Anolis sagrei: one gene and its partners. The protein of the gene in region 1 interacts with the protein of each later gene in a pairwise test. Links are inferred from orthologs where the notes say so. Each region holds a gene or a part of one and is shown on either strand. Other genes may lie near its edges.

What was found. The genes of interacting proteins can lie anywhere in the genome.
Region 2: the proteins of ATF4 (region 1) and GCC1 interact in binary tests that used the Homo sapiens proteins (3 or more experiments, as listed by UniProt). The two-hybrid records come from large-scale screens. The link is inferred for Anolis sagrei from reciprocal best matches to the Homo sapiens genes ATF4 and GCC1.
Region 3: the proteins of ATF4 (region 1) and CCDC106 interact in binary tests that used the Homo sapiens proteins (3 or more experiments, as listed by UniProt). The link is inferred for Anolis sagrei from reciprocal best matches to the Homo sapiens genes ATF4 and CCDC106.
Region 4: the proteins of ATF4 (region 1) and JUNB interact in binary tests that used the Homo sapiens proteins (3 or more experiments, as listed by UniProt). The link is inferred for Anolis sagrei from reciprocal best matches to the Homo sapiens genes ATF4 and JUNB.

The regions. Positions count from the first base shown.
Region 1 is NC_090025.1:163,050,830-163,058,166, forward strand, and holds the start of ATF4 (cyclic AMP-dependent transcription factor ATF-4), read right to left. Parts: upstream 3,317-7,337; 5' UTR 3,070-3,316; intron 1,227-3,069; 5' UTR 1,129-1,226; coding exon 912-1,128; intron 711-911; coding exon 1-710. UniProt on the Homo sapiens protein: Transcription factor that binds the cAMP response element (CRE) (consensus: 5'-GTGACGT[AC][AG]-3') and displays two biological functions, as regulator of metabolic and redox processes under normal cellular conditions, and as master transcription factor during integrated stress response (ISR).
Region 2 is NC_090025.1:200,499,572-200,507,923, forward strand, and holds GCC1 (GRIP and coiled-coil domain-containing protein 1), read left to right. Parts: upstream 1-5,166; 5' UTR 5,167-5,293; coding exon 5,294-6,259; intron 6,260-6,917; coding exon 6,918-8,309; 3' UTR 8,310-8,335; downstream 8,336-8,352. UniProt on the Homo sapiens protein: Probably involved in maintaining Golgi structure.
Region 3 is NC_090026.1:17,860,752-17,868,859, reverse strand, and holds the start of CCDC106 (coiled-coil domain-containing protein 106), read right to left. Parts: upstream 3,187-8,108; 5' UTR 2,950-3,186; intron 2,933-2,949; exon of another isoform or gene 2,833-2,932; intron 2,705-2,832; exon of another isoform or gene 2,449-2,704; intron 416-2,448; 5' UTR 380-415; coding exon 310-379; intron 1-309. UniProt on the Homo sapiens protein: Promotes the degradation of p53/TP53 protein and inhibits its transactivity.
Region 4 is NC_090022.1:111,655,804-111,663,532, reverse strand, and holds JUNB (transcription factor JunB), read left to right. Parts: upstream 1-4,970; 5' UTR 4,971-5,343; coding exon 5,344-6,399; 3' UTR 6,400-7,043; downstream 7,044-7,729. UniProt on the Homo sapiens protein: Transcription factor involved in regulating gene activity following the primary growth factor response. Binds to the DNA sequence 5'-TGA[GC]TCA-3'.

The DNA.
Region 1 (7,337 bases):
TTGCTCTAGCCTTTTCTTCTGCCGATACCTAGTAGCTGCAGTCTTATTTTGCTCCATCTTCTTCAGCTTTTTGTCTACTCTCTTTTCTCCCTTCATTTTCAATGCTACCTTTTCTGCAGGGTGATCATAAGGTGTGGGGCGCACAGAAACAATATGCACAGCCGTAACAGACTTGTCATCACTGAGAGAACTAACAGAAGTGGTAGGACTTTGCTGGGGTGAACACAAGTAAGATTCTGGGCTCATGCATATTCCACTATCATTATCAGAATGTGCTTCATCCTCCTTCTCACACTTTGGAATGACATTTAGTGGAATTACCACTAAGATATGGGCTTCCGTTTTCCTGTCTCCTTCAAGAACATCTATCTCGCTGCCTAGTTCTAAGGTGAAAGGGCTGCTGTCTGCAGTGGCAACATGTGACTCTGGAGAAAGGGCTAATGTCAGCAAGGGGCTCGGTGAAGCTTCCTGGTCTGAGCTGGTGGGGGGCTTTGGGGACTCAATAATTTGCTCTGGTGTCAGTGGAGTTTCTTCAATGGGAATTTCTTGAAAGGGAGGCTCAAGTGGATCACAGGTGTCTTCCAACGCGGCCATGAGCTCATCTGGTGAGACGGTGGATTCCTGATCATCAAGACCTAACAGCACATCAAAATCAAACTCCTTCAGATCCATGTTTTCCACCATCCAATCCATGCCAGAGAAGGCATCCTCTGTCAAGGAAAAGAAAAAAAATCATTTGAGAAAATTAAACGTTTTGCAAAAATACGTTCTTTCCTTTTATTTCTTCTATTTACACAATCAGATCATATCCAGTTGCCATTATACTAACACATTTCACTTTCACAGAACTAGTAGACCAACACCTCCCCCACTCCCCAATCTCCAGAATCCCTTTATCCCTCTGGTCTTACCCTGGCTGTTGTCTGTGGCATTATTCAATCTGTCCACAGCCAGCCAATGGGAGGCGCCCACTTTAGCCTTGTCGCCGGAGAACCCATGCGAACTGAGCTTCTTGGCCACCTCCAGGTAGTCATCTAAGAGTCCTAGACTTTCTTCAGCCCCCAAACACGGCTGGTTGAAGGGGGAGAGAAAATCCCCCCACAACATCTCTGTGTTTGAGAAGCTCATCTTGGCCAAGTTTCAGTACTTTGTCGTCGAAAAGGGTGGACAAATCGGTGGTGTCTTTGTCGAAAACAGCAAAGCTGCTGTGCAATGCTTTGAAAAACCTGGAATGCAAAGAAAATGGGATTACCAAGGTGACAACTTGTAAGGACCTTGAATTTACCCCTACAGTAGGATAAGGCATTTTATACATTATAGTTAAGCAGGAGTGTTTGCCGGATTCCAGGACTGGGTTTTTTTGAGGCGCCATCTGGAATCCAGACTCGATTTCTTCTGCATACCAACCCGCTCAACCACAAAATGGCGCCAACTAGGGGCTGTCAAATGTTTCCACTTCTGCCCGCCCACCTCCTGACTTTCCTCATGACCATATATGGTCTGAAGCAGAGCAGACGCTCCACCCGCCACTCCCTTCGCCTGATTCATGCCTTCATTTGCTACAACAGCTGCAGCCATTTCGTGCTCTACGTGTCCACGTCCCCACCCTATAACTAGGCCGCCATTTTATATCCTGCCACGTTTTTATTTCAGCTGGTCCAACTAGTTTTCACCTTTGACTATCTGTTTAATCCACACTGAGCAGAAGCACCTTAACAAATTCCAAGTTCTTTACATGGGCTTTCAGAGACAAAAAGTGGAGAAATGCCAATATACAAGGATGGAGGTGAAAGATAGCCACCTACAGATTTAGCGCTGTTCTAGACAGCACTAAAATAAACCATGATAGATCTAAAAAGAATCTCTTCTTGACATCAAGAGTTCTTGGCTTTCTAAGAGATTAATTTCCTGTGTACTCTAAACATTTACGTAAGACTCATGAATATCACCTAAAATATACATTAGTTTTCAGCAAACAGTAACGTGGCTGTTATTATTTATTTACTGTATTCATTACTGTATTTATATACCATCTTTCTCACCCTCGGAGGGGGACTCAAGGCAGTTTACAACATACTAATGGCAAAAATTCAATGCCAACATACAGTAAAACAAATCATAACTATTTGTTACATATACCTTTGACTTACAATCATTAAAACTACGAAACATGACAGATGAAACATTACAATCATCCTAGTATAATTATTAAATTTTAAAATCATTTAGTATGTTTTTGAAATAATTTTTATTGGTTTATGGTGCATAGAGAAAACAAAACTGGTGTCGGGAGGTCATGGGGGTTGGGTTCATGGGTGTGGGGTTAGAGGGACAATAAATGGTAAGTTATAATAATTGTACAAAATTGATTTTGCATATGTTTAACGAGTACTGACTGAATACCATTCTGTAAACTTGCATACCCTTTTGTATATCTTTTTCTTCTTTTTTTGTGTGGGTTGTTTTTTTCCCCTCTGAAATCATTTAGTATTTCTGACAGCTTTCAAAGGAAGCCTTGCATCTTATGACTGTGTGTGCTGATCGAGCAATATTTATGCTCCCCAGGAATTTCCTTCAGAGTGAAGGGAAATAACTTTGCCCACTAATTAGCCTAATTGAGTTACCTAGGGGAATTTGCATTCCCTTTGCGCCTCCTATTGCGAATTCCCAGAAGATTAGCTCATTGCTTTTTTCCCTCTTTGTAAACCTGAGTAAAAGGAACCCAGTTTCTCCCACAAGGTAGAAGACCTTGTAAAACTACAACTCCCCACTATGCCATATCATTGAGGCCATGGTAATTCAAAGTGGTGTCAAACACCACTCACATTCCACAGTGTATCAGGCCTGGGTCAACTTGGGCCCTCCAGGTGTTTTGGACTTCAACTCCCACCATTCCTAACAGCCTCAGGCCCTTTCCTTTTCCCCCTCAGCCGCTTAAGCGGCTGAGGGGCAAAAGGAAGGGGCCTGAGGCTGTTAGGAATGGTGGGAGTTGAAGTCCAAAACACCTGGAGGGCTCAAGTTGACCCAGGCCTGGTGTAGATGACCTCCTCTTTCGCTCGCCATACTCACGCCATGGCTGCAGGTGCCTTGAGGTGCCGAGGCCGCGGCCGCTTCTGCTGCGCCTCTGCAATGGCCGTTCTGCCGCTTGCGCTGCCGCCCCCTACGGTGCCATGGCGGCGCCTGAGGAAGCTCAAACCGCTCTGCGCCTCGTTGGTCTGAGCCGCGCCCGCAGGCCGCACACAAACGCCAATCACACAGAACCTCCTCCTTCGCAGACTTCAGCCGACAATGAGGACAATGGCGTCTTCGGCTTCTCCTTATATAGCGCAACGAGATCCGGCCGGCTCTTCTTCTGGGGCACGAAGAATCCTTCCGCTCAACCCGTCCCTTGATTTAAGACAGCTTCACTCGAGGAAACAGGCTTTGGCGCCCCCATCTAGAGATAAATAAAGGAATACTTCGCGGGGCTCTCCTCCATTGAGAGTCACGCGCCCCTCGTCCAAAAAAAAAAAAAACACTCCGCGGAAGGATCACGAGAACTATACTGCGCTCTGTGACATCATCCCGCTCGCTGGCGGCTCCTTTCGTGTCAGACCACGTGACGCCTCAAGGGATGTGCCGCTTCCTATTGGCTTCCCGAAATCTGGATTCCCTCCCCCCCCCGCACTCGAGGTGAGCACGTGGACAGACGGAACCCGATTGGCTAAGGGAGCCCTGTCCGCGTGGACTGTCTCCTGCTATTGGCTGAGAAGGGGAAGCGCGTCAATCGTTAGCCGTTGACGAAGAAGGGAAAGGGGCGCGGGGGTGTTCTTTTGTGTGAGGCAAATGGGACTGAAAGGTCTTCTGAGGGGTTTATTTATTTATTTTATTTACGGCATTTATATGACGCCCTTCTTACCCCAAAGGGGACTCGGAGCGGCTTACAAGATATATATATATACACACAATATATTGTATTATTAGCATAGTACAATATCAGTATTATATATTACAATATTGTATTATACTGTTATATTGTAATATTATTAGTAATATTACATGTAATATAAATATATAATTATATCCTATTATGTTGCATTACATTACAATATTAAAAATATATATTCTATTATATTATTAGAATAGCACAGGAGACAAGATGGAACTGTCTCCTGGCCCCCTCTTCACTGGCCCAGAGCGGCAGTTGGTGCTGGGGGGAGGGGTCCCCAGCTGATGTCATATGCAGGAGACAAGATGGAACTGTCCCCTGGCCCCTCTCTCTTCACTCTGGCCCAGAATGGCAGTTGGTACTGTGGGGAGGGGTCCCCAACTGAAGATATATGCAGGAGACAAGATGGGACTGTCCCTTGGCCCCCTCTCTCTTCACTCTGGCCCAGAGTGGCAGTTGGTGCTGTGGGGAGGGGTCCCCAACTGAAGATATATGGAGGAGACAAGATGGAACTGTCCCCTGGCCCCCTCTCTCTTCACTCTGGCCCAGAGCTGCAGTTGGGGCTGGGGGGAGGGGCCCCCAACTGATGACATATGCAGGAGACAAGATGGAACTGTCCCTTGGCCCCCTCTCTCTTCACTCTGGCCCAGAGTGGCAGTTGGTGCTGTGGGGAGGGGTCCCCAACTGAAGATATATGGAGGAGACAAGATGGAACTGTCCCCTGGCCCCCTCTCTCTTCACTCTGGCCCAGAGCTGCAGTTGGGGCTGGGGGGAGGGGCCCCCAACTGATGACATATGCAGGAGACAAGATGGAACTGTCCCTTGGCCCCCTCTCTCTTCACTCTGGCCCAGAGTGGCAGTTGGTACTGTGGGGAAGGGTCCCCAACTGAAGATATATGCAGGAGACAAGATGGAACTGTCCCCTGGCCCCCTCTCTCTTCACTCTGGCCCAGAGCGGCAGTTGGTGCTGGGGGGGGGGGGGGTCCCCAGCTGATGACATATGCAGGAGACAAGATGGAACTGTCCCCTGCCTCCCTCTCTCTTCACTCTGGCCCAGCGCGTGAGTTGGTGCTGGGGGTTTTGCTTCCACCTTTAAAAAGGCCTGGGTGCCTTGCTTTGGTTATGCCTTTATCAGGCTTAAGTGGCTGAGGGAGGGAAAGGAAGGGGCCTGAGGCTGTTAGGAATGGTAGGAGTTGGATTCCCAAACATCTGGAGGGCCCAAGTTTGCCCAAGCCTGCACTAGATGCAGGAAACCTTTCTTGCCTTGAAAGAGTTGGGGTTCAAAGCAAAACTTTTCCAATCTCTGAGGGCCAGTTGCCTAGTTCTGTTGACATCTGCCAAAGCTACTGGCTGCCCTCAGAGCTGCTTCCCCAGAGCCAATGCATTTGGGTGGAAATAATAACTTATTGCATGTACATACAATGGAATATGCTACTTCAGAGCGCAGTGGAGATTTTTAAGCAGAGCCTGGATAACCATCTGTTGGCGTTGCTTTGTGTGTTCCTGCATGGCTGTGGGTTGGACTGGATGGCCTTTGTGGTCTCTTCCAACTGTGAATATGTATGTAATGAGATATCTTGGAGAGGGCATCCCAAGTTTTTAAAGAGATTTAAAGATGGGCTTAAAGCCAAACTTAAAAGCTGTGGCCTAAACATAACTGGGAAGCCTTGGCCCTTGAACGCTCTAAATGGAGGTCAGCTGTGACCAGCAGTGCTGCAGAATTCAAAGAGGCATGAATGGAGGGAGTAAGGTGTCAAGAGGAAGGCGAGTCAAGCCAACCCTGTCCGGGACTGCCTTCCACCTGGAAACCAATGTCCTCACTGCGGGAGAATATGCAGATCAAGAATAGGGTTCCATAGCCACCTACATATCCACCGCCAAGACACTACACTTGGAGCTATCATCCTCAGGCTACTAGGGATTGCCTCAGAGAAGATCTGGGAGAGGGCATCCCAAGTCTAAATGCAACATTTATTTATGTTTCATATATATCTTATAGACATGGGGCCATGGTGTCACAACAGGTTAAACCTCTAAGCTGCTGAACTTGTTGACCAAAAGTTTGGTGGTTCAAATTTTGGAAGTGGGGTGAGCTCCTGCTGTTAGGCCCAGCTTCTGCCAATTTAGCAGTTCAAAAACATGTGAGTGGAAGTAGATTAATAGGTACCACTCTGGTGGGAAGATAGTGGCGCTCCATGCAGTCATACTGGCTGCATGACCTAGGAATTGGCTACGGTCAATGCCAGCTCTTCAGCTTAGAAATTGAGATGAGCACCACCCTCCAGAGTCAGATATTACTAGGCTTAATGTCTGGGGAAACCTTTACTATATACTATATATATGCTATGGTGGCGAAACAGGTTAAACCACTGAGTTGCTGAACTTGCTGGCCAGAAGGTTGGCGGTTTGAATCCGCAGGATAGCTTAGAAATGGAGTTGAGCACCACCCCTCAGAGCCAGAAAGGGAAGCCTTTACTTTTATCTGTTGTTTCTAGGCATTGAATATTTACGCCTTTGTGTTTGTGTATGCTGGAATCTGTCCTGAGTCCCCTTGAGATAGGGCAGAATACAAATGAAGTATTATTATAGTATAGTCTGAAGGTAATGTTATCCTATAATTTTAATAATTTTGTGATTGATCAGAAGGCAACGGTGTTTCTATATCAGCCAAATATGTGGACACTTTTGTGTCAGGCATGGCCAAACTTTGCCCCTCCCCCAGGTGTTTTGCACCAACTCCCACAATTCCTAATAGGCTGTTAGAAATTGTGGAAGTTGAAGTCCAAAACACCTGGAGGGCCAAAGTTTGCCCATGCTCGCTTTAAGTACAAGTGAATGACGGCAGCTCCTCTATCTAAAACAGGGGAAGGGAGATTAGAATTGAAGTTGGCTCTGGGAGGAGAGAGCCATAACTTTTGGACACCAGTATCTGCCAAGTGCTGAGTGCAGGCCTTTGTATGGGAACAAGACAAAACAAGATTCCTCTGGAAATCTGCTGCTAATGATGGTGTTCAGGATAGAGAGCATTCTTCTGTGTGGTAATTGAAGCATGAGATAGGACTGTCCTGCAAGCTCAGTTCTCCTTTGTGCTTCACACAGAACACAAGGCTTCTGCAAAGAACAGGCCCCTTTTGTCACAGGCTCCCAGCAGGAGATTTTGCTGAGAGCCTTTCCACACAGCCATATAATATCAAGGCAGATAATCCACAATATCTGCTTTGAACTAAGATATCTGAGTCCACACAGCCATATAATGCAGTTCAATGTGGATTATATACAGCTCTGTGTGTGGTGGGGGGGGGGGCGGGGGGGGCTGAATACAGTTCTTCTCGTGGCACTGTTCAAGAGAGAAAGAGATTGGAAAGGTGTTTTTGGGCCCCATCTAAATTCTTTGCACCAGCTAGGACAG
Region 2 (8,352 bases), about 37 Mb from region 1:
GCTGATAATATAAAGTGCTAGAATTGTACAAAATAACAGCACCACCTAATCTGTTGGTAGAGATGTTAAGACACACAAAATCAAGGCAATGAACGACTGAAAATGGATCAAAAGGTGGATTGGTATTGGTCCTTCCGGAGATAAAGCTAGTGTCCGCAAGGATGATCAACGGCTGAAATCGGCCCGATGGTAAAGGATGGACACGCAGGTGGACAGCACAGTAAATTGAACAGCACAGCGGTCGGCACAATAGGTTGAACAGCACAGGTAGTCGGCACAATAGATAGTTAGTCAGCACACGTCGGACAACCAAAGTCGGTCAGCACAGCGTTGGCCTAAAGTTGGTAGCGTCGATGGCATACACAGGTTGGCCCCAGTGATGCTCTGGAGGGGTGCGATAACCGCACCACGAACCAAGATGGCGGCCGCGTCAAGACCTGGGGCGGCAACTCAAGCCACCCCGGGGTCCTAGCGCCGCACGCCGACAAGGCCAGCAAACTGTGAGTTATCCCGGCCCCAAAAGCTCCGGTCGACTAATCTGTGGTTTGGGAGGGAGCGTGCTCGGACCCAACTAGAGGTGGGCCTCGCTCCACCTCCACTCTTCTCTTCTCGGGAGCCGACTCGCACGGCTGAAGCAGCCAGATGTCCGAGGCTGCAGCTGGAACGCAAACCGGCTGGGCCGAGCAGGAGGGGGCGGCGTGGGTGAAAACAGCCCTCTCGGAGGTCAGTCTGCCAACCCGCTGGGCAGCCAAGCAGCCGAACAAAGCCTCCACTTCTCCGTCCAGGTACAACGTCCAAGCTAAGATTATCGAAGCTGGAGACTGGAGGGTGTAAGGGGGTCCAGAAGGGGTCCAGTAGCTGGGAGGTATGGAGCTTGGGGCCAACAATGGCGGTGGCCCAGTTGTCTTCTCCTTTCCTCCTTCCCCGTTTGTTCGTCTTCTTTCTCCGACGCTCCCCGAAACAGGTCTCCAAGCTCACTTTCGTGACCCTGGGAATTACTGTTTGTGTGGGGGCGGTTTTTTAAGAGTCCAAAAGGGGAAATAGAGCCAGAATATGGTAAATTGAGGCCCCTCTCTTACCCTGGGAAGAAGGTTCGCTGCTTACCACGCCGCCATCATTTTGAGTAATTTGTAGTTTGTAGTTTGTAAATAGTTCGACTTCAAAGAGCTCCCATTCAAACAAATAATTTACTCTTATGTCCAGTCTCTATGGGTAGCTTATTCAGCAAGTTTCCTTTCTTTGCTCTTTGCTCTTTCTTCCCTCCGTTTCCTTTATCTCTCTTTACTTTTTGTTTCTTTGTAACTCCAATTAATTAATCTTAATGGAGGCGGTAAGCCGCAATACCATCCCATTAGGTCGGCGTCCTCATTATTGTTATTATTTATAGTATTTTAATGTAATGCACTATAATGCTAATAATAATATGATATCATAATTATATATTTATATTGCAATTGGTATTACTAATAATATTAAAATATATTGTATGTCTATAATATACCTTGTTAGCCGCTCTGAGAAGGGTGGCATAGAAATGTCGTCAATAAATAAATAAGTATTGTTGAAGGCTTTCATGGCTGGAATCACTAGGTTCTTGTGGGTTTTTTCGGGCTATATGGCCATGTTCTAGAGGCATTTTCTCCTGACGTTTCGCCTGCATCTATTGCAAGCATCCTCAGAGGGAGTGAGGTCTGTTGGAATTAGGACAATGGGTTTATATATCTGTGGAATGGCTGGGGTGAGGCAAGGAGCTCTTCCCTGCTGCAGTTAGGTGTAAATGTTTAGCTGATCACCTTCGTTAGCATTTGAAGGCCTGGCTGAGCCTGGGGCAATCTTTTGTTGAGAGGTGTTAAGATGTGCCTGGTTGTTTCCTCTCTGCTGTTTTGCTGTTGTAATTTTAGAGTTTTTTTAATACTGGTAGCCAGATATTGTTCATTTTCATGGTCTCTTCCTTCAAATGGTAATGAAGGTGGTCAGTTGAAACATTCACACTTTGCTCCAGCAGACAAGAGTCCTTTGTCCCACCCTGGTCATTATTCCACAGATATATAAACCCATTTTTCCTACTTCCAACAGACCTCTCAACCTCTGAGGATGCTTGCCATAGATGCAGGCGAAACGTCGAGAGAAAATGCCTCTAGAACATGGCCATATAGCCCGAAAAAACCCCCAAGAACTTAGTGATTCCAGCCATGAAAGCCTTTGACAACCAAGCACAGCTTAATACCTCTCAACAAAAGATTTTCCCAGGCTCAGCCAGGCCTTCAAATGCTAATGAAGGTGGTCATTTGAAACATTCCCACCTAGCTCCAACAGACAAGGGTCCTTTGTCCCACCCTGGTCATTATTCCACAGATATACCAACCCCTTTTCCTAGTTCCAACAGACCTCACTCCCTCTGAGGATGCTTGCCATAGATGCGGGCGAAACGTCAGGAGAGAATGCCTCTAGAACATGGCCATATAGCCCGAAAAAACACAGAAGAACGTAATAAATAAGTAAACCAACATCCGGGAACGGGGCGGCCCCCAAGCAGCTGAAGCCCCTCAGCTTCGCTCTGGCTGCTCACGGGCACCACCGTTTGCGCATGCGCCGCAGTCCTCCCTCGCTCCCTCCCTCGGTCCTTTCCTGCGCATGCGCGAGAAGGCAGGCCGGCCAATAAGCAGTCAACCACCGGGGTCCTCGGACGGAGGAAACGTTTGTGCGCATGCGCAGCAAGCGCGTTGCTGCTGGCGGAGAAGAGGTGAGTGGGGCTGGGCCGCGACTCCGGGTTGGCGATTCTGGCCAGCGGATTCTCATGGGGACACTCCGCCAGGCCCTCTTACCTTCCCTCTCTCCGTCCCTCGCAGCCGGTGGAAGTGAACGGGAGAACGGGGCAGGGGAGGGGGAAGCGGCCCGCGGGCAGCAGGCTCTCCCTGCCAGGCACGCTCGCCTTGGCTGACTTAGGCTTCCGTGTGCATGCTTCTTACGTTGTGAACTGGGTTGGGTTGAGTGCCGTCGTTGATTGACAGCTCTGCCGATGTGTCCTGGCCCTCTGCCCGCCCCGAACCCCCCCTCCCCCCCCCGAGGTGAGAAGGGCCGCACACGAGGGCAGTAAACACTTAGAATCCTAGACTCCTAGAGTGGGAAGGGACCAACTCCTGGGCCATCCTCCAGTCCAACCCCATTCCGCCAAGAAGCAGGAATATTGCATTCAAATCACCCCTGACAGATGGCCATCCAGCCTCTGTTTAAAAGCCTCCAAAGAAGGAGCCTCCTTCCACCACACTCCCTCCGGGGAAGGCAGAGAGTTCCACTGCTGAACGGCTCTCACAGTCAGGAAGTTTTTCCTGATGTCCATGAAATGTCTGTATGTGTTCGGTGTGCGGGAATGGGGACCCGATATTAGCCAGGTAAGGCTAGGGTTAGGGTTAGGGTTGGAAGAGACCTCCTGGGCCATCTTCCAGTCCAACCCCATTCTGCCAAGAAGCAGGAATATTGCATTCAAAGCACCCCTGACAGATGGCCATCCAGCCTCTGTTTCAAAGAAGGAGCCTCCGCCGCACTCCGGGGCAGAGAGTTCCACTGCTGAACGGCTCTCACAGTCAGGAAGTTCTTCCTCATGTTCAGGTGGAATCTCCTCTCTTGTAGTTTGAAGCCATTGTTCCATTGCGTCCTAGTCTCCAGGGAAGCAGAAAACAAGCTTGCTCCCTCCTCCCCCCTGTGGCTTCCTCTCACATATTTATACATGGCCCTCATCATATCCCCTCTCAGCCTTCTCTCCTTCAGGCTAAACATGCCCAGCTCCTTAAGCCGCTCCTCATAGGGCTTGTTCTCCAGACCCTTGATCATTTTAGTCGCCCTCCTCTGGACACATTCCAGCTTAGAGTCAATATCTCTCTTGAATTGTGGTGCCCAGAATTGGACACAGTGTGATTCCAGGTAAAGTGGTCTCACCAAGGCAGAATAGAGCATGGGGAGCAGGACTTCCCTGGATCTAGGCACTAGGCTCCTCTTGATGCCTGAGGCCAACATCCCATTAACATACATAAACAAGGAGGCCCAATGGGCTGAGACTCAGTGGCAAGATCTTCATTGAAAGTGTGTGGCTCCTGCAAGGACAAAGGTTTTGCAGTTTGATAAACCTTTTCCATGTTTTTATGGCAGAACCAATTAGGAAATGACATTTATAACCCAAGAACATAATAATAATAACAACAACGTTATTCTCAAATGCCGGCCCATCTCCTCGAAGGCACCTGGGGCGGTTTACAGAACGGCAGAAAGGACCTCAAAACAAACCCTAAAAGGACGCACAATGTACAACACTATAAAAGAAAAGTGCTGCTGCAAACATGGCCTAGCTGTGAACAAGTGCAATGCAGGCATGTAGCTGGCCGGGGGGGGGGGGGGGGTTCAGCCCCCCCCCCCGAAATTCTGATGGTGGTCCGCGAGAAGGCCTTACTGGTGCATTATTTAAACTGCTATGTTTATTGATATCATGATCTGATCACTATACTCAATATATTCCATATGCATGATGGGGGTATTGGGGTAACGATGCAAAAGGTTTGCTAGGGTAGACCCTCTTTCACTCAGGCTCAGCCCCCCCAAACCGAACTCAGCCCCCCCGAAACAAAATCCTGGCTACGGGCCTGCAATGGGATAAGTGCACGCTGCAGCAATGGAGAGTGGGCATCGCATCAAGGGCAAGGATGTGCGGTGACTACTGCGTAGAACTACAAGGGACCGGGCATTCTCAAAAAAGGACAGGGCCCCACGGAAGGAGGGCGGGGGGGGGGGGCTGCCTCATCTCCCTGGGGAGGGCGCTCCAAACCAGGGGCCCCCACCACCACGAAGGAAGGCCCTCTCTCTCCCTCATCCTCGGAGGTGGGAGCGAGAGCAGGGCCTCCCCAGCAGATCTCAGAGCCCGCAGACACGAGGGTCCTGTGTGTTTATGCCGTGGGTCAGCAGAGAATTGGCTGCAGTTTTAAGATCAGCCCAAACGATTGGATGCCGTTCAAGTATGTTGTTTTGTTGTTATTTTATGATGTTTTAAACTTACTATCAATGTATTTGGATAGTTGTTTACATGATTTTAATATGTGGTAAGCTGCTTTGGGTCCCGTGAGGGAGAAAAGCGGGATATAAATCAAGCTTTACTGTTATTGATGACAAGTCTGTGAATCCCTGGCTCTTTCTTCCAGCCTCATCCTCCAGAAGCGCCTGTCTTGACAAAGGGAGCTGGGGGAGGGGCCCCTCTCTCTGCTTTGGGGCTCATCCACCCCCCACTACCTCCCCCCCCCCGGTGGCCATGGAGAAGTTTGGGGTGAGCTTTGGCGGGGGGCCCAGCCGGAAGGACCTCCTGGAGACGGTGGAGCAGCAGCGGGAGCAGCTGGCGCAGTACCAGGCCCGCCTGAAGGACGTGGTCCGGGCCTACAAGGGCCTGCTGAAGGAGAAGGAGGCGCTGGAGGCCAGCCTCAGGGTCCTCTCCGTGGCCCACCAGCCGCTGGACGACCAAGAGCCCGCCGGGCCGGGGGCAGTTTCTGAATTCGGCCTGGACGCCAGCGAGGACAGGAGCTCCGGCCAGAGCGAGGAGGACGGTGCGGGGCCCGCGGTGGAGGAGGAGGAGGCGTTGTCGGCATCGACGGCGGTGGGGGCGGAGGAGGAGAGCGGGAGCAGCGGCAGCGGAGAGGCCCCCGGGGAGGGGGGCCGGCGCGTGCTGCAGCTGAAGGCCCAGCTGTCCACGCTGACGGCCTCCCTGGCCACGGTCTCCCAGGAGAAGTCCCGGGCGGAGGCCTCCTTCCAGGCGGACAAGCGGCGGCTGAGGCAGGAGCGGGAGGAGGCCGGGCGCCGGGCCGAGGAGGAGCGGGCGCGGCTGGCGGAGGAGGCCCGGGCGGCCCGGGAGCAGCTGGCGGAGACCAAGGCGCGGCTCCTGGCGCAGCAGCACGACCGGGCCCAGGAGCAGGCCGACCACGCCGCCATGCTGCGCGAGCTCCAGCGCCTGCTGCAAGGGGAGCGGGCCCTGCGCCAGGAGGCCGAGCGCGGGCTGGAGGAGAGCCGGGCGGCCCTGGCCGGGAGGGCGTGCGCCGCCGAGCACGCCGAGGAGGCCGAGCGCAGGGCCCGGCGCCTGCAGAGGGAGGTGGAGGCGCTGGAGGGGGAGCTGGGGGCCCTGCGGGAGGAGAGCGCCCGCCCCGACCCCCAGCTGCAGGCCCTGCAGGCCGAGGCCGCCGCCCTCCGCAGCCACTTCCAGGCCCAGCTGCTGCAGGAGATGCGCAAGGTCAGCCCCCCGAGGGCGAGGGGGGGGAGGGAGGGGGGGCAGTGGGTTGGGCACCTCTGCGGGCATCTGCTTTAGGACCTGGGGCTGTCCATACGGGAAGGGGGGGGGGTTGGATGCAGGGCCGTAGCCAGAAAAAAATTTCGGGGGGGGGGGGTGTTGAAAATCTCAGGGGGGGGGTTGAAAATTTCGGGGAGGGTTGAAAAATTTTTTGGGGGGGGAGGTTGAAACCTGCCTCCTATCTCACGCTGAAGCAAAGAGCACATCTGCAGTGGGCAGAGCAGCCTTCAATAGCCTGCAGCTCCGCCCTTGTCAACCACCTCCACCAAGTCTGGTCTCCTTAATGAGAGCATTCAACACACACACACACAACTTGGTTGCTACACTTCATCGGCTATTGCTGCAAGTAATGGCAGTGTGAATAAATTGTCAATATTTGCTTGACAATCACCCCCTCGCTACAGGCCTGGTTGGATGTGCCTGTGAGTTGTGTATCGCCCAGTGTCCAGCCCTGGGCAGTGCAGTTGGAAGAAGCTCTTGACCAGGTGGGTGGGGCCACCAAAAGGGTCAGAGGTGTGGAAGGAAGCCATGAATCCTCCTTGAGTGCAGCTGTAGCTTCATGTTGACCCTCTCCCTCTTCTCCCCCCCCCCCAACCCCCAGACGGCCCACGCGGAGGAGCGTGTCCGTGCGGAGGAGGACCGCGCGGCCGGCCTGGAGGCGCAGATTTCGGAGGCCTCGGAGCTCCTGGGCAGCTACGAGAGGGCCAAGCAGAGGGACCAGCTGGCCATGCAGCGGCTGCGCGAGCGCCTCTCCCAGCTGGACCTGGAGAACAAGACGCTGGCCTTGGCCACCTCCGGCCGCTGCCCGGCGCCGGACGTCGGCCTGGAGGAGGAGAGCGGCCTGGACGCCAACGTGCTCCGGGACAGGATAGAGAAGCTGCGGGCGCTGCTCCGGGCGGCCACCAAGCGGGACCTGGGGGAGGGGGAGGGGGAGGGGGAGGGGGAGGAGGGGGAGGAAGAGGGGTCCCTGCGCAAGGTGGCGGGGCCGCCCGAAGAAGAGGCCGACGGGGAGAAGGTATCCTCGGCCGCCTACTACCAGCGGGAGCTGAGGCGGCTCAAGGAGGAGTTTGAGCACTACAAGCAGCAGCACGGGGGGCAGAAGGGCGGTGGGGGGCAGCCGGCCCCAGGGGGGGGGAGCGAGGGGGGCAGCGGGGAGGGGGAGCTGGCGGAGGCGCGGGCGCAGCTGGCGGCCCTGAAGGAGACCTACGTGGCCCTGCGGCTGTCCCACGAGGAGCAGGCCCGGCGGCAGCGGGAGCAGGCGGAGGCCCGGCGGCAGGAGGCGTCCCGGGGGCAGCAGCGGCAGCGGGAGGAGGTGGAGCGCGCCCGGCGGGAGGCCCGCGAGGAGGCCCTGCGGCTGGAGGAGGAGCTGCGCCGGCAGCGGGAGCGCGCCCTGGCCGTGCTGGCCGAGAAGGAGCTGGAGCTGGAGCGCCTGCGGGCCCTGGCCTGGCCCTACGCCGCCGGCCCGCCCCCGGGCCCCCCCCGCCCCCCCTCGCCCTCCCTGCCGCCGGCCCCGCCGCCGGCCCCCTCGGCCCCCCAGGAGGACCTGACGCAGGCGCTGCGCCTCTCGGGGGGCCCCGGGGAGCCCCCCTTCCTGCTGTACACGGAGCAGCTGGCCCGGCGGGCGGTGGAGCTGGCGGGGCTGAAGCGGGAGAAGCGGCGGCTGGAGGGGGAGGCGCGGCGGCTGCGGGAGCGGCTCCTGGCGGCGGAGGAGGCGCACCGGGAGGAGCTGGGGGCCCTGCGGGAGCGGCTGCGGCAGAGCGCCCGCGAGCAGGGCCGGGAGGGCGCCAACCTGGAGTACCTCAAGAACGTCTTCTTCCGCTTCCTGACGCTGGCCGAGGGGCTGGGCCGCCAGCAGACCCTGGGCGCCATCCTGACCGTCCTGCACTTCAGCCCCGAGGAGAGGCTGGCCGTCATGGGGCCCCCCGGGGGAGGGGCGGGCGGCAGCGGGGGCGCGCACAGCGGGGGGTGGTGGGGGGCCTCCGGAAAGAGGTAAGGGAGGGGAGGGGCCGCCCCATCCCACCCCACCCCACCCACTC
Region 3 (8,108 bases), on another chromosome or scaffold:
GTCCCTCCAGATGTTTTGGAATATGATCCCGTTACCCCAAGGCAAGTATTATCCTGCTTGTGGCTTATGAGAGATATAATTCTGAGTATCTGGGTAGCACTAGTTCCACCTCCTTACAGTACAGAACACTCTTAGGGTCTCTACCCATAACAAAATGCCTAAAGAAACTACTATGGAAGTAGGTCATGCTCACTTGCACATCTGATATGCTGGCATGAAGGGGAAAAAACAGCTTTCTTCCCCCCAATGTGTTGCGCTACAACTCCTAGTATCTTCTAGCCAACATGCCAGCTTCTGACATACACTTACCTTGCTTTGCTGCACCTCCACGACGTCTCCTACCTGCATTTGCCTGTTGGTAATGGTTACTTTCACTCATCGTCCTACCTCCCCAAGCAGGATGGGTACTACCAACCTACAGAAAAGGAATGGAAATGGTTAAAACATGGTGAGGAGTTGCTGAGGAGCCTTCTAATCAAGGTGAAAGAAGAAAGGGCAAAAGCTGGGTTGCAGTTAAACATCAGAATACCAAGATTCTGGCAGCCAGACTGATTGATAACTGGCAAATAGAGGGAGAAAACATGGAGGCAGTAGCAGACATTGTATTCCTAGTTGTGAAGATTACTGCAGACTCAAACTGCAGCCAGGAAATCAGGAGACGCTTACTTCTTGGGAGGAGAGCAATGTCCAATCTCGATAAAATAGTGAAGAGTAGAGACATTACACTGGCAACAAAGATCCACATAGTAAAAGCAATAGCATTCCCCATAGTAACCTATGGATGTGAGAGCTGGACCATAGGGAAGGCTGAGTTTAGATTTCCCTAAAACATAAACTTCAAAAGTAACCCCTCCTTTCAGGGACTTTCAGGTGGTTAGCTTTCATGTCTGCTATTCTCCCAAATTTTTAACAGTGGATCTGCTCATTTGGAGTGCAATGCAGGGTGCAATAGAACAGAGCAGTAATTCATTGTAAAGTTAGAAACTACATAATGGCCTTCCTGAAAATAAGGAGGGTTCACACTCTCCTTCACTATGAAATAACTAGGTGTATAGTATCTAGATCCATGTTACCCCTCTATTCTGCCTTGGTTAGACCACACCTGGAATATTGTGTCCAATTCTGGGCACCACAATTGAAGAAATATTGATAAGCTGGAATGTGTCCAGAGGAGGGCAACTAAAATGATCAAGGATCTGGAGAACAAGCCCTATGAGGAGAGGCTTAAAGAGCTGGGCATGCTTAGACTGAAGAAGAAAAGGCTGAGAGGAGACATGATAGCCATTTATAATATGTGAGAGGAAGTCATAGGGAGGAGGGAGTAAGCTTGTTTTCTGCTGCCCTGGAGACTAGGACGCGGAACAATGGCTTCAAACTACAGGAAAGGAGATTCCACCTTAACATTAGGAAGAACTTCCTGACTGTGAGAGCCATTCAGCAGTGGAACTCTCTGCCCCGGAGTGCAGTGGAGGCTCCTTCTTTGGAGGCTTTTAAACAGAGGCTAGATGGCCATCTGTCGGGGGTGCTTTGAATGCAATTTTCCTGCTTCTTGGCAGGGGGTTGGACTGGATGGCCCATGAGGTATCTTCCAACTCTATGATTGTATGTTGTGACTCTTGGCTATTTACGTCCACAGCTTTGTCAGCCTAGGCCAGAGTTGAGTTTCTACAGGAGGGATGGGCAACTGGTGGCCCTCCAGGTCAGACTGCCTCACATTGTTGCTCTATACAAACAAAAAGCAGACAAGTCTGGTGCGGGTTGCCATCTATCTCCTTTTAGATGGCCGTGGGTTTCCTACGAAATGTCAGGAGTCAGAGAATGCTTCTCGAACATGGTCATACAGCCTGGAAAGCTTACAACAACCCACAGTGATTCTGGCCATGAAAGCTTTTGACAATACTAGGGTTCCACTTTAACTGCTATAGCAACATCCTATGGAATATTGTCATTCTTCCCTTTGGGAAGAATATTTGGAATCTCCAAGTCAGAGGGTGTTCTGAAGACCTCATCACACTACAGAATGAATCCACTTTAAATCCGGTTTTTGCCTCCAGCAGAATACTGGAGTTTGTAGTTTAGTGGGGCTATTAAAGGCTCCTTCCTAAACTACAAACCCCAGAATTCTGCAGGAGGCAGAAACCAAATTTAAAGTGGATTCATTCTCTAGTGTGATGAGGTCCTCTGTCTCTCTGGAACCTCAGTAAACGACAAGCCCTAGGATTCCAGACACAGGATGTTGCCATGGCGATTAAAACGAAGTCAACGCGTTTTACCACAGTGCAGTGTGACAGGGCCCTAAAACGAGGCGGTTTCTCTCTCTGTCTCAGGTGTGTTCGCTTTGTGGATCCAGGTAAGCGTCGGACTTTGGCTCCCACGGGGAAAGACCTCCCTGGTGGGCATCCCCAAGGAAGAATCCCGGGAAGGTGAGGGGTCGAGGAGCATGCCCACCTGGCAGGAACTGGGGCCAATCTGGAGCGTCCAGGAGATCAGGCTCTCTTTGGCAAAGGCTCGATTGGAGGCAAAGAAAACCAGATCCCCTCGATCCTCTGCAAAACGGGTCCCCGCTCCTCCAAAATGGCCCCGGATCCTCTCCCGGAATGAAAGACCCCTCCTCCTTCCCTTCCTCCCCAAATTCCGTGCGCCCCAGGACTTTGGGAACGCAAGGTTTTCCCTGGCGCTCCAGGGCGCACAGGTGATGGAGAGGCGCAAAGGAGAGGAGGGTCCTTTGGGGAGCCGAGCCCAAGCGCCCCCACCCACAGCCCCGCCCCAGGCTGAAGGGGAGCCCAAGGGCGAGGGGGCAGCGAGGCAACCCCCTCCTGGCCCAGCCCATACCTGGCTCTTTGGGGCGCATCCACCCCGGAGTGTCCGGACAGGCAAGTGCGGCTGGCGAAGGAGGAGCGGCCAAGGAGGAAAAGGAGGAGGAGCTGCCTCCAAGGGCGGGGGTCCTACCTGGCTCACGGAAGGAGGAGGGACAGGTCTCCTTCAAGGGGCTCCATCGCTTCTGAGGCCAGGCACGCACCGACAGGGAGTGACCACTGGCACGTGTGGATGAGCCATCGTGAGCACAGCCACGCGTGATTTTTTTTCGTGTAAGGAGCGACTTGAGAAACTGCAAGTCGCTTCTGGTGTGAGAGAATAGGTCGTCCGCAAGGACGTTGCCCAGGGGACGCCTGGATGCTTCATGTTTACCATCCTTGTGGGAGACTTCTTTCATGTCCCCGCATGGGGAGCTGAAGCTGACAGAGGGAGCTCATCCCCACTCTCCCCGGATTCGAACCTCTGACCTGTTGGTCTTCAGTCCCGCTGGCATAAAGGTTTAACCCATTGTGACACCCCCCTTCAGCGCTGGAAATTATGGAAGCCATCCTTCAAAAAATGCTTGTCTATGCTCTAAGATAGGTAATGGCGCTCCATGCAGTCATGCCGGCCACATGACCCTGGAGGTGTCTATGGACAATGCCGGCTCTGGCTTAGAAATGGAGATGAGCACCACACCCCAGAGTCGGACATGACTGGACTTAATGTCAGGGGAAAACCTTTACCTTTTTATGCTCTAAGATGGAACTGTAAGAAGGACCATCAATTGGTTCTAATGCAAGCATGGGCAAACTTCGCCCCTCCAGGTGTTTTGGACTTCAACTCCCACAATTCCTGAATTGCGAGAGTTGCAGTCCAAAACACCTGGAGGGGCAAAGATTGCCTATGCCTGTTCTAATGCATCTCTGGTGTTATTGGATGATATCCCAAGGGAACAAAACATGGCAAGTCTTTCATTTCACACCTTGCCTTTTGTTACTGCTTCAAACCTCTATAAACATGTGCTGCCATGGCCAAGAGTCAGACATTTGTGGGTGAGTATAATGCACTTCTGAGTATTCTTTGCCTAAGAAAACACTATGAGATTCACAGGGTTGCCATCAATCAATAGTGACTTGAAGGCATGCACACAAATACAATGTATCCATTCTTCAACCTCCAAATTGCAGCCATTAAGGATTCAACAGTGCTTCTTTCAACATGCTTCCTCTGACAAAGTTTCTGAGGTTCCAAAAGAAGGACTGGGTGAAAACTCAGCTGTGTGGGGAGGCTGGACACCTTCTATTTAAAAAAAGCTCTTCCAAAGAAATAAGGAGGAAGCCTGTCCTAAAATGATGACACAAAGGACTGTAGAAGAATGCAAAGGTGTTGGAGAGGATGCCAGAACATGTGCATGAAAAACATGAACTTAACACCAAAACACTCAAATAAGATTAAAAAGAGGACACCTGTGCCATTGGCTTTGGAAAACCATGATGCTTGATGCTGCAATAGACCTCACCCTAAATATATCACACATACTGTATCTACTGTATTCCTCATTAGGATATGAAGGGAAGAATAGTTGTGTTCTATGAGGGCAGAGGGGAGATTAAACTGATGTGATAATTCGAAGTCAGTGATGCTAGTCATGGTTGGTCCTGAAAAGGTCCGTTGGTTGGTTTGCTTGTTTGGTTGCGTGCTGCAAGTCGTTTCTGGAGTGAGAGAATCAGCTGTCTACAAAGATGTTGTCCAGGGGACACCCGGATTGTGCCACATGCACAATGGAGGACCTTCTTATAGCAACACCAGAGGCACTCTAAGTGGCTGGCTACTGGTCAAAGCACATTTAATAGAATGCCAAGTTTGCAAACTTTGTATTTTTTAAAAAAATATATAATATAACTGTTTGGTTTCCCCTGACATGATAAATAGTGATGCTAGTCTTGCAAAAACAGGAGCCAGATCACCTAGTTGGATTGGAAAGGAGTAGAAGATCCTCAGAAGATGAAAGAGAGCACCTTGACCAAGGCATGAGGTAAGTGGGTCTCACAGTCAGGATATATGGGCTCTTTAAGGAGTTCAACTACTTGCAGCTTGGTTCTTCTCATGTATGGCACTGGGGAGAGGGGGAATTGGAAGGTGAGGATGGGAACAGATACATTTCTACATAAGCAAGCTGTATTCCACATTGGCAGCAAACTACATTATTAAAGTAATGCAAGAATGACACAGTCCAACCAAAAAAATGTGTCTTGATGTCTTGGATTTTAGGTTTGTTCCTGGGGTTATTTATTGATTTATTTATTTACAACATTTATATGCCACTCATCTCACCCCGAAGGGTACTCAGAGGACTTATTTGGGATCTTGAAAACTGCATTGGATAGATCACATCAGCTCTAGTTTCTTTTATATGGTTATCGTTGTTTTCTATGAGTGAGCAGATGGCAACTGATAAATGTTGTATGTTCTGTATCATAGAAACTAGAACTGATAGGGGAAAACTGCAACCATTTTTGGAATATCTAGAAACAGGTCTAACATTTGAGGCACCAAAATGTGTGTTGGCCAGTGTTACAACTAAAGAAAAGACTGAAAGTGTAAGGAGCTCAGGGATGCATACAGCCCTCAGAGGACTTTGGCCATACTGGCCTGTGTCAGATAATGCACAATAAATAGTCCAGAATTTGGGGTCAGGGTGGAAAAGAGGCTAAGCTCCTTGTTTGGAAAGATGTTTTCCTATAAGCAAAGACAAGAGTCCAAAAAACATGTGTGTGTGGTGGGGAGGGGAGGGGGCTGGAAGATGGGGGTAATGGGGTTCTTTGTTTGGAGAGACATGCTTTTCCTCCAAGCAAAGACAAGAGTCCAGAAATGTGGGGTGGGGGTGGCCTGGCAATTTTCTTTAAGATGGGGGGTGCTTTTATTCCAAGTAAAGGTAACAGTCAAAAATAGTAAATAAATAAATAAATAAATAAATAAATAAATAATAATAATAATAATGGTAAAGGGTTTCCCTTGACATTCTTGATGTTTTACCATCCTTGTGGGAGGCTTCTCTCATGTCCCTGCAAACTACTAACCACCTAGGTTCTTGTGGGTTTTTTCGGGCTATAGAGCCATGTTCTAGAGGCATTTCTCCTGACGTTTCGCCTGCATCTATGGCAAGCATCCTCAGAGGTTGTGAGGTCTGTTGGAAGTAGGAAAAATGGGTTTACATATCTGTGGAATGGCTGGGGTAGGGCAAGGAGCTCTTCCCTGCTGCAGTTAGGTGTGAATGTTTAGCTGATCACCTTCATTAGCATTTGAAGGCCTGCCTGAGCCTGGGAAAATCTGTTGCTGGGAGGTGTTAATCTGTGCCTGGTTTTTTCCTCTCTGTTGTTTAACACCAGATTAACACCTCCCAGCAACAGATTTTCCCAGGCTCAGGCAGGCCTTCAAATGCTAATGAAGGTGATCAGCTAAACATTCACACCTAACTGCAGCAGGGAAGAACTCCTTGCCCCACCCCAGCCATTCCACAGATATATAAACCCATTTTTCCTACTTCCAACAGACCTCACAACCTCTGAGGATGCTTGCCATAGATGCAGGCGAAACGTCAGGAGAAATGCCTCTAGAACATGGCTCTATAGCCCGAAAAAACCCACAAGAACCTAGTGATTCCAGCCATGAAAGCCTTCGACAATATACTAACCACCTGCTGCAATGCAACCTGAGCCCTGCTACATGCACAATGGAGGACCTCCTTGCGGCAACACCAGAGGCACTCCAAGTAGCCAGATACTGGTCAAAGGACATTTAATCAACTACCAAGCTTGCAAACTTTGTGTTTTGTCTGTTTGCTTTGTTAAAAATGAGTGATTTATCTGTTGGGAGGCACAGGAGGGACAAGTTAAGGGGTGTAATTTCCCGCTAGGAATAATGTGAAGTGCACCTTATTCCTAGGACACGTATATTCTGGGTCAGTCACAGTATGGGAATTGTTGTGAATATGAATAAAGTATTGTTGTTTTTCAACTGCCGGCAGTTAGGAATTGTGGGAGTTGAAGTCCAAAACACCTGGAATGCCAAAGTTTGTCCATGCCTGGACTAAGTTCTTTGTTTGGAGGGCAATATGCTTTTTCCTACAAGCAAAGTCAAGAGACCAGAAATGCCTGGGAGGGGAGAGTTTGATTGAATATTTTTTAAAGGGGAAACTGCTTGTGGCACAATCAAAGAGAGACAAGAGTCCAGGAATTGGGGGAAGCAAGGGGAGCTACATAATCCAAAGATTAAAATCCAAATTTGTGGAGTTGGAGGTGGGTCTATGCTCTTTGTTGGGGTGGGGGGGTATGTGCTTTTCCAGAGGCCAGAAATGAGAGAGCTCTTTGTGGGTGGAAAGGGGGGCTCCATCCTAGAGCGATTCCCTGGCCCCTTGCACCCCTTTCCCCCAAAGTGGAAGGGGGGTTTCATAGAATCATAGAGTTGGAAGAGACCTCATGGGCCATCCAGTCCAACCCCATTCTGCCAAGAAGCAGGAAAATTGCATTCAAAGCACCCCAGCCAGTTTATCAGCTGTTAGGATTTCTGGGAGTTGAAGGCCAAAACATCTGGGGACCCACAGGTTGAGTACCACTGGTTTAAAAGCTTCCAAAGAAGGAGCCTCCACCACACTCCAGGACAGAGAGTTCCACTGCTGAACAGCTCTCACAGTCAGGAAGTTCTTCCTAATGTTCAGATTGAATCTCCTTTCTTGTAGTTTGAAGCCATTGTTGCATTGCACCCTAGTCTCCAGAAAACAAGCTTCCCTGACAGATGGCAATTTAGCCTGTTTAAAAGCCTCCAAAGAAGGAGCCTCCGCTGCACTCCGGGGCAGAGAGTTCCAGTGCTGAATGGCTCTCACAGTCAGGAAGTTCTTCCTAATGTTCAGGTGGAATCTCCTTTCCTGTAGTTTGAAGCCATTGTTCAGCGTCCTAGTCTCCAGGGCAGCAGAAAACAAATTCACTCCCTCCTTCCTATGACTTCCTCTCACTCATTTATACATGGCTATCATGTCTCCTCTCAGCCTTCTCTTCTGCAGGCTAAACATGCCCAGCTCTTTAAGCTGTTCCTCACAGGGCTTGTTCTCCAGACCACTGATCATTTTAGTCACCCTCCTCTGGACACATACCAGCTTGTCAATATCTCCCTTCAACTGTGGTGCCCAGAATTGGACACAGTATTCCAGGTGTGGTCTAACTAAGGCAGAATAGAGGGATAGCATGACTTCCCTGGATCTAGACACTAGACTCCTATTGATGCAGGCCAAAATCCCATTGGCTTTTTTTGCC
Region 4 (7,729 bases), on another chromosome or scaffold:
TGCACTTCTAGCTGTGGCGCATGGGTTGGGTCGAGTATATCTCCCTGTATATCAGAGTTTTTAGATGTATGCATTTGTGTGGTCTCCTCAAAACTCACCTTTTGCTCAAAGCCTGTAGCTTAACCCTTGAGTTGCCAAGCATAACCTAATGAGGTGTAATGGTGCACACATTTATTCCTCTTGCCTCCTCCATCTATCTCACCCATTTTCTTTTTATTCCTTCCATGCCAATAGAATTTACCAGAGAGGATCCTCATGGGCAGGGCATTTTTTGAAGCATTAAACTTGATGGTGTACTAGACTTTTTAAAATCATGTTAGAAGCAACTTGAGAAACTGCAAGTCGCTTCTGGTGTGAAAGAAATGGCTGTCTGCAGAGATGTTGCTGGATGTGTTAATATCCTCTGGGAGGCTTATCTCATGTCCCCATATGGGAAGCTGGAGCTGACTGACAGGAGCTCAGCCTGTCTTACGGATTTGAAACGTCGACCTTCAGGTCAGCAGTTCAGCTGCCACAAGGGTTTAGCCCATTATGCCACCACTGCTCCTACTATGTACCAAATAATAAAAATAGAAATAGGGGTTGAGGACTTTGAATTTCTTGTATGTTGTGGCCCTTGGGGTGCATCTACACAGTGGAATTAATGTAGTCCCGCCTCACTTTAAAACTGCCATAGCTCAATGCTGTGTTTACTTTGAACATGCTTGGTGTAACTTTGCCTTTGGATTATGATTTTAAAGGGGTGTGTGTTTGTGTACTGTATACTATTTCCTTGCATTTGATATGTGAGTGTTCTGTACGTGCATCCATAGAGAAACTTCTATCAAGGAGTTCCTTTGCTGCTTAGCATTTTGTTGACTTACGTGTACCAATTCTGGGTATACATCATGTATTAGGTTTGTATTCTGTCAATGTAGGACAAGACATTTCGTACAACTAAATTAAATGCCATCCCCAATACACATTATACACTCCCACAAATCCTAACAGCCTACCAGCTGTTTGCCCAGGCCTGCTATAGAAGAAGCAGGAACACACACAAAACCATCCATACTAAGCACCAAAGGGAAAAGCAACCAACGGCAGCAACTACGTGCACATCCTCTCTTGACATTGGCTATGCTCGCTAGGCAGATGGGAGTTGCAGTCCAACAAAATCTGGAGAACTACAAGTTCCCATCTGTATGTTAGTTATTGTTTCATATTTCTATAAGGAGGCATTGCTAAGAATCACCATATACATGTTCAGATACAAAACCAAAAATAAGTTCTTCCACAGGACAGCTTCCCTTGGGATTTGGAAAGGCTGGGAGTTCTTCCGAGGCAACAGATCCAGGCGGGGCTTTGGGTGCCTGGAGAGTGAAACTCGCCTGCACCTACAGTTCTGAAGGGAAACACCTCCATAGGACACACTTCCCTCCAATAGTCCAAAGTGGTCTAGCAGTTTACTGAGCATTACTGGATTTCATCCCCAGTCACAGTAACTCTGAGAAGGCAAAGTTGTGCTTTCTCGGCTGAGGCGGCCCCGCCAAAGGCCACCCAGCACACTAAGGGCCCTTCCACAAAGCCCTGTATCCCAGGACATCAAGGCAGAAAATCCCACAAAGATATACTTTGAACTGGGTTGTCTGAGTCCACACACAGATAATGTGGGATTCTCTGGGATATAGGGCTGTGTGGAAGGGCCCTGTCTAGGGTTGCATGTACACTTAGAATCAATGCAGTTTGACACTGCTTTAACTGCCATGGCTCCATGCTATAAAATCCTGGGAGTTGTAGTTTCACAAGACCTTTAGCCTCTTCTCCAAACTGCATCCCCCATAATTCTATAGCATTGAGCCATGGCAGTTAAAGTGGTGTCAAACTGTATTAATCTACATCCCAGGGAAATCTTTTGGCTCCAATCCGAGGCAGGAGATGGAAAGGACTGATGTGGTAAAAACAAAATTTATTTATTTATTTATTTATTTATTTATGACATTTACATGCTGCCCTTCTCACCCCGAAGGAGACTCAGAGCAGCTTACAAGATATATATACACACACATACAATATATTATATTGTATAATATATATTGTATAATAATATATTTTATTATTAGCATAGCACAATCTCAGTATTAAATATTACTATATTGTACTATTCCATTATATTGTAATATTATTAGTAATATTACATGTAACATAAAATATATAATTATAATATATTTTAAGCCCCCAAAAGGCCAGAGACATATCTATAGACAAAAATGTGGCCATTAGTATCAACATCCCACTTGGAGCCCTTCTAGACAGGCCCTATATCCCAAGATCTGCTCCCAGGTTTTCTGTTTATCTCAGATTATCTGGCAATGCGGACTTATATAATCCAGTTTAAATCAGAAAACCTGGGATCAGATCCTGGGATACTGGGCCTGTCTGGAAGGGCCTTGAGTCCAATGGAGCTTTTGTTGTTCTTGCGTGCCTTTACGATGACATATGGAGGCCCCTTCCACACAGTTGCATAAAATCCACCTTTTATTTATCGTGTCATCAGCAACCAGACATTTGTATTGCATTTTTAACAAAAACAAACAAACAAACAGACAAAACACAGAATTTGCCAGCTTCGTAGTTGATTAAATGTCCTTTGAGCAGTATCTGGCCACTTGGAGTGCCTCTGGTGTTGCTGCAAGGAGGTCCTCCGTTGTGCATGCAGCAGGGCTCAGGTTGCATTGCAGCAGGTGGTCTGTAGTTTGCTCTTCTCCACACTCGCATGTCGTGGATTCCACTTTGTAGCACCATTTCTTAAGATTGGCTCTGCATCTCATGGTGCCAGAGCGCAGTCTGTTCAGTGCCTTCCAAGTCGCCCAGTCTTCTGTGTGCCCAGGGGGGAGTCTCTCATTTGGTATCAGCCATTGATTGACGTTCTGGGTTTGAGCCTGCCACTTTTGGACTCTCGCTTGCTGGGGTGTTCCAGTGAGTGTCTCTGTAGATCTTAGAAAACTATTTCTTGATTTAAGTCGTTGATGTGCTGGCTGATGCCCAAACAAGGGATGAGCTGGAGATGTCACTGCCTTGGTCCTTTCACTATTGGCTGCTACTTCCTGGCAGATGTCAGGTGGTGCAATACCAGCTAGACAGTGTAATTTCTCCAGTGGTGTAGGGCGCAGACACCCCATGATAATGCGGCATGCCTCATTAAGAGCCACATCCACTGTTTTAGTGTGGTGAGATGTGTTCCACAGCAGCAGAGTAGCATAGCACAAGGGCAGATGTCTTCACTGTGTTGGGTTGTGATCCCCAGGTTGTGCCAGTCAGCTTTCGTATGATATTGTTTCTAGCACCCACTTTTTGCTTGATGTTCAGGCAGTGCTTCTTGTAGGTCAGGGCATGGTCCAGAGTGACTCCCAGGTATTTGGGTGTGCTGCAATGCTCCAGTGGGATTCCTTCCCAGGTAATCCTCAGAGCTCGGGATGCTTGTCTGTTCTGAAGGTGAAAAGCACATGTCTGTGTTTTAGATGGATTAGGGATCAGCTGGTTTTCCCTGTAATAGGCAGTGAGAGCACCTAGAGCTTCGGAGAGCTTCTGTTCAACCATCTCAAAGCTCCCTGCTTGAGCAGTAATGGCACGATCATCAGCATAGATGAAACTGTCTGTCTCTTCTGGCAGTGGCTGGTCATTTGTGTAGATGTTGAACATGGATGGGGCAAGCACGCTCCCCTGAGGCAGGCCGTTCTCCTGTTTCCGCCATCTGCTTCTCTGGCCCTGGAACTCAACAAAGAAGCTCCTGTTTCGTAGCAGGTTTCCTATGAGGCGGGTGAGGTGGTAGTCCTTTGTGATATTATACATTTTTCTTTGGAGGAGGCGGTGGTTCACAGTATCATAAGCCGCTGACAGGTCTATGAAGACAGCTCCTGTGATCTGCTGCCTTTCAAAGCCATCTTCTATGTGCTGAGTCAGGTTCAGCATTTGCGATGTGCAGCTTTTGCCTTTCCTGAAGCCAGCTTGCTGTGGGATCAGACAGGGGTCTATTTTTTCCATAATTCTATGCAAAATAAGTCTCTCCAGAACTTTGTAGAGGTGGCACAGCAGGGAGATTGGTCTGTAGCTTTTTGGGTCATTGCGGTCTTTGCCTGGCTTCAAGATGGCGATGAGTCTCTTGCTTTCCTCCAGATTTTGGGGATCTGACGGGATGCCGTGCAGTTGTTCATCAGCTCCGGCAGCCAGCGCCTTGCTTTTGGGCCAAAGTTCTTGATTTGTTCCACATTGAACAAACCCACATTGAACAGTTTGGACTCAGATAACCCAGTTCAAACAGACCTCACAGCCTCTGATGCAGGGGAAACGTCAGGAGAGAATGCTTCTAGAACATGGCCATACAGCCTGGAAAACACACAACAACCCAGTGATTCTGGCCATGTTAAGCCTTCCGCAAGACATCAAAGAAGATATCTGGGTGGGAAGGGGCCCTGAGAGGGTGAAATTGGCCTCCCTAAGATCACGCAGCGAGGGGATTCGACCCCTGCTCCCCCGAGTCCCGGTCCACGCTCAGCCCACGACGTCACTCTCCCAATGGGGAAAACATGCAAACGCGAGCACCCTACGGACGTTCCAACCCGCGTCCCGGCTGAGCGTGGGCACGCCCCCTCCTTCCCTCCCTCCCTCCTTCCCTGGCCTGCGTGCCTGCGTGCGTGCGTGCGTCCCTCTCCCCTCCCCCGCCCATGCCCGCTCCCTCTGACGCGCGGCTCCCTTACAACTCCCCCTCCCGCGGGCTGTTTACTGGAGCACGAGCTGCCGAGCAATGAGCTCAGCGCCCACCCCGCCCTCTCCTTCTCCGCCGTGGGAGGGGCGGAGACACTCGCGGGCGCCGCGGCCAATCAGGGCGCGCTTCCGCCACCGCCGCGCGCGCGGCCGGTATAAAAGGGACCGGGAAGCGCACGCTGGAGCTCAGAATACTCACTCGCGGCGCCGGGCGGCACCCAAACCCCAGCAAGCGCAGCGGCAACAACAGCCTCCACCACCACTTCCCGCTTCTTCTTCTTCTTCAGTGGCCGGTACGGTACCTGCTCCTTTTAGCTCCTTTTTGCCAGTGGGGACGAACGGGTGGAAGCCGCCGGAAAGACTGGGGAGGGACGCAGGCAAGGAAGCAAGCCAGCGGAAGCGGTCTCGGGAGCCGAAGCGCGACCCACGCCCCAAGCCAGGCCCGGAGGGAGGGAAGCCAGCAAGAAAGAAAGGAAGAAAGGAAGAAGGAAGGAAGGCAGGCGAGCCAGCGAGCGAGCGAGCGCGCCCCACTTCCTTCTTTCCTGCCCTCCCTTCATTCCTTCCTTCCGCCCTCCCTGCCTGCCTGCCTGCCCTTCTCTGATGTGCACGAAGATGGAGCAGCCTTTCTACCCTGACTCCTTTCTCTCCGGCTACAGCCAGGACTACAAGGCGCTGAAGGCGTCGGGCATGGCGCTGAACCTCTCCGCGGAGCCCTCCTCGTCGTCGTTCCGAGGGCTCAAGGCGCCGCTGGCGCACCACCCGCCGGCCCAGCACCCGCAGCTCCGCGCCCAGGAGGACTTCTTCCCGGCCGGCCTGCCCCCGCACCCACCCTCGGAGGGCGCCAACGCCGTCAACTCGCTCAAGCTGGCCGCGCCGGAGCTGGAGCGCCTCATCGTCCAGAACGGGAGCAGCAGCGGCGTCATCGCCACCACCCCCACGCCGCCCGGACAGTACTTCTACCCGCGCGGCGCCACCGAGGAGCAGGAGGGCTTCGCCGACGGCTTCGTCAAGGCCCTGGACGACCTCCACAAGATGAACCACCTCCCGCCGCCCAATGTCTCCCTCGGGGCGGCGGCAGCGGCAGCGGCGGCGGCATCCGTGGCCTCCTCGACGGCGAGCAGCGGGTACGGGGCCTCCTCGCTCCCGCAGGAGCCGCCCCCCATCTACACCAACCTGACCAGCTACAACCCGCCCGCCCTGAGCGGCTCGCCGGGCTTCCCGAGCGCCAACCTGAGCTACCTGCCGCAGCACCTGAGCCTGGGCGGGCACCACCCCCACGCCCACCACCCCCACGCCCACCACCCCCACGCTGCCGTCGCCCCCGGGCGGGGCTTCAAGGAGGAGCCACAGACGGTGCCGGACGTGCAGCAGAGCCCACCTGTGTCACCCATCAACATGGAGGACCAGGAGCGCATCAAGGTGGAGCGGAAGCGCCTGCGGAACCGGCTGGCGGCCACCAAGTGCCGCAAGAGGAAGCTGGAGCGCATCGCCCGCCTGGAGGAGAAGGTCAAGAGCCTCAAGAGTGACAACGCCGGCCTCTCCAGTGCTGCCAGTGCCCTGCGCGACCAGGTGGCCCAGCTCAAGCAGAAGGTCCTCAGCCACGTCAACAGTGGGTGCCAGCTCCTCCTTACTGCCAAGATGCAGCAGTCCTTCTGAGAGATGATGGAGACAGAGACAGAGAGCGAGAGAGAGAAGAGAAGGGACTCTCATGCCAAAAGTTTACAAAGGGACGGAGGGGGGAAGTCCTCCTCCTCCTCCCCTCCCCCCATGTCCGTGACTCTCAATCTGGTGGATCCAGAAGCCGACCTGTGCTGAGTGTGTACGAGTTCTTTTTCTAAAATCGCTGTATGTGAGAGTGCAATTGTGTGTTTGTATTTAAGACGAGACAAAAAGACAAGGAAGCCTTCCTCCGCCCGCATTGCTGGATGGTGCGGCGGAAAGGGAAGGGCGGATGGACGGACCGGGGCCGCCTGCCTGCCTGACCTCCTTGCCCTGCCAGTAGGAACAAAAGGGACGCTCTATTTATCCCCAAAGCCCAGAGGGACCAGAGAAGAAGAGGGGCCCGGCTGCACTTCCGCCCTCTTTCTCCTCCTTTTGACTTATGGACTAGAGAGAGAGAAAGGGCCCCCCCCTGTGGAGCCCCTGCGAGGGAGGAGGGGGTTGTTTACTACTTGTGCTCTTATTAGTTCTTCGGAGTCCTCACATTCATTTCCCCCCCCCCCCTTCCCCTGAAACTGATTGTATTTGTGTTTTGGAATTTTTATTGAACCTATTTAAGTAAACATGTTCTAACTACTTTATTTATCTGCGTACTTCTTTTAATTGGAGACAAAATGGGGCTTTTAGTGGGTGGGAAACTTCCTCAAAGTGAGTTCCATCAGTTTTGGTTTAGGAAAAGCCATTCTGGTTTCCATTTCGAGGGAAGAGAGAGGTTTGTTGTTATTATATTTATGTGTTTCTAGTCACTCTAAGTCAGGTATGGGCTAGCTTGGGATCTCCTGGTGTTTTGGACTCCAACTCCCACCATTCCTAACAGCCTCAGGCCCTTTTCTTTTCCCCCCTCAGCCACTTAAGCAGCTGAGGGGGAAAAGGAAGGAGCCTGAGGCTGTTAGGAATGGTGGGAGTTGAAGTCCAAAACACTAAGAGGGCCAAGTTGACTCAGGTCTGCTCTAAGTTGTACTGCTTTTAGCAGTAGCCTCTTTGAGTCTCTCTTTAGAGAGTGGGATAAACAACAACAATCATAACAGAGACCCAAAGCAGCTCACAGTCCCACTAAAAACAATACAAAGAGGCCTGGATCTCCATTAACTGTTGGGCAACAAACTTAATAGCTCTGCTGCTTGGGTGCTTTCCTGCCTTTGCTTCCTGGTGGATCCATGGAGGCTTCTTAACCTTCTCTGCCTTGTCTCCCTCCTCCCTCCTAATCGATGAGATCCGAGCTTTCTTTGCCTGCGTGCCTCGCTTTGCCTCACGTCATATTTCGGAG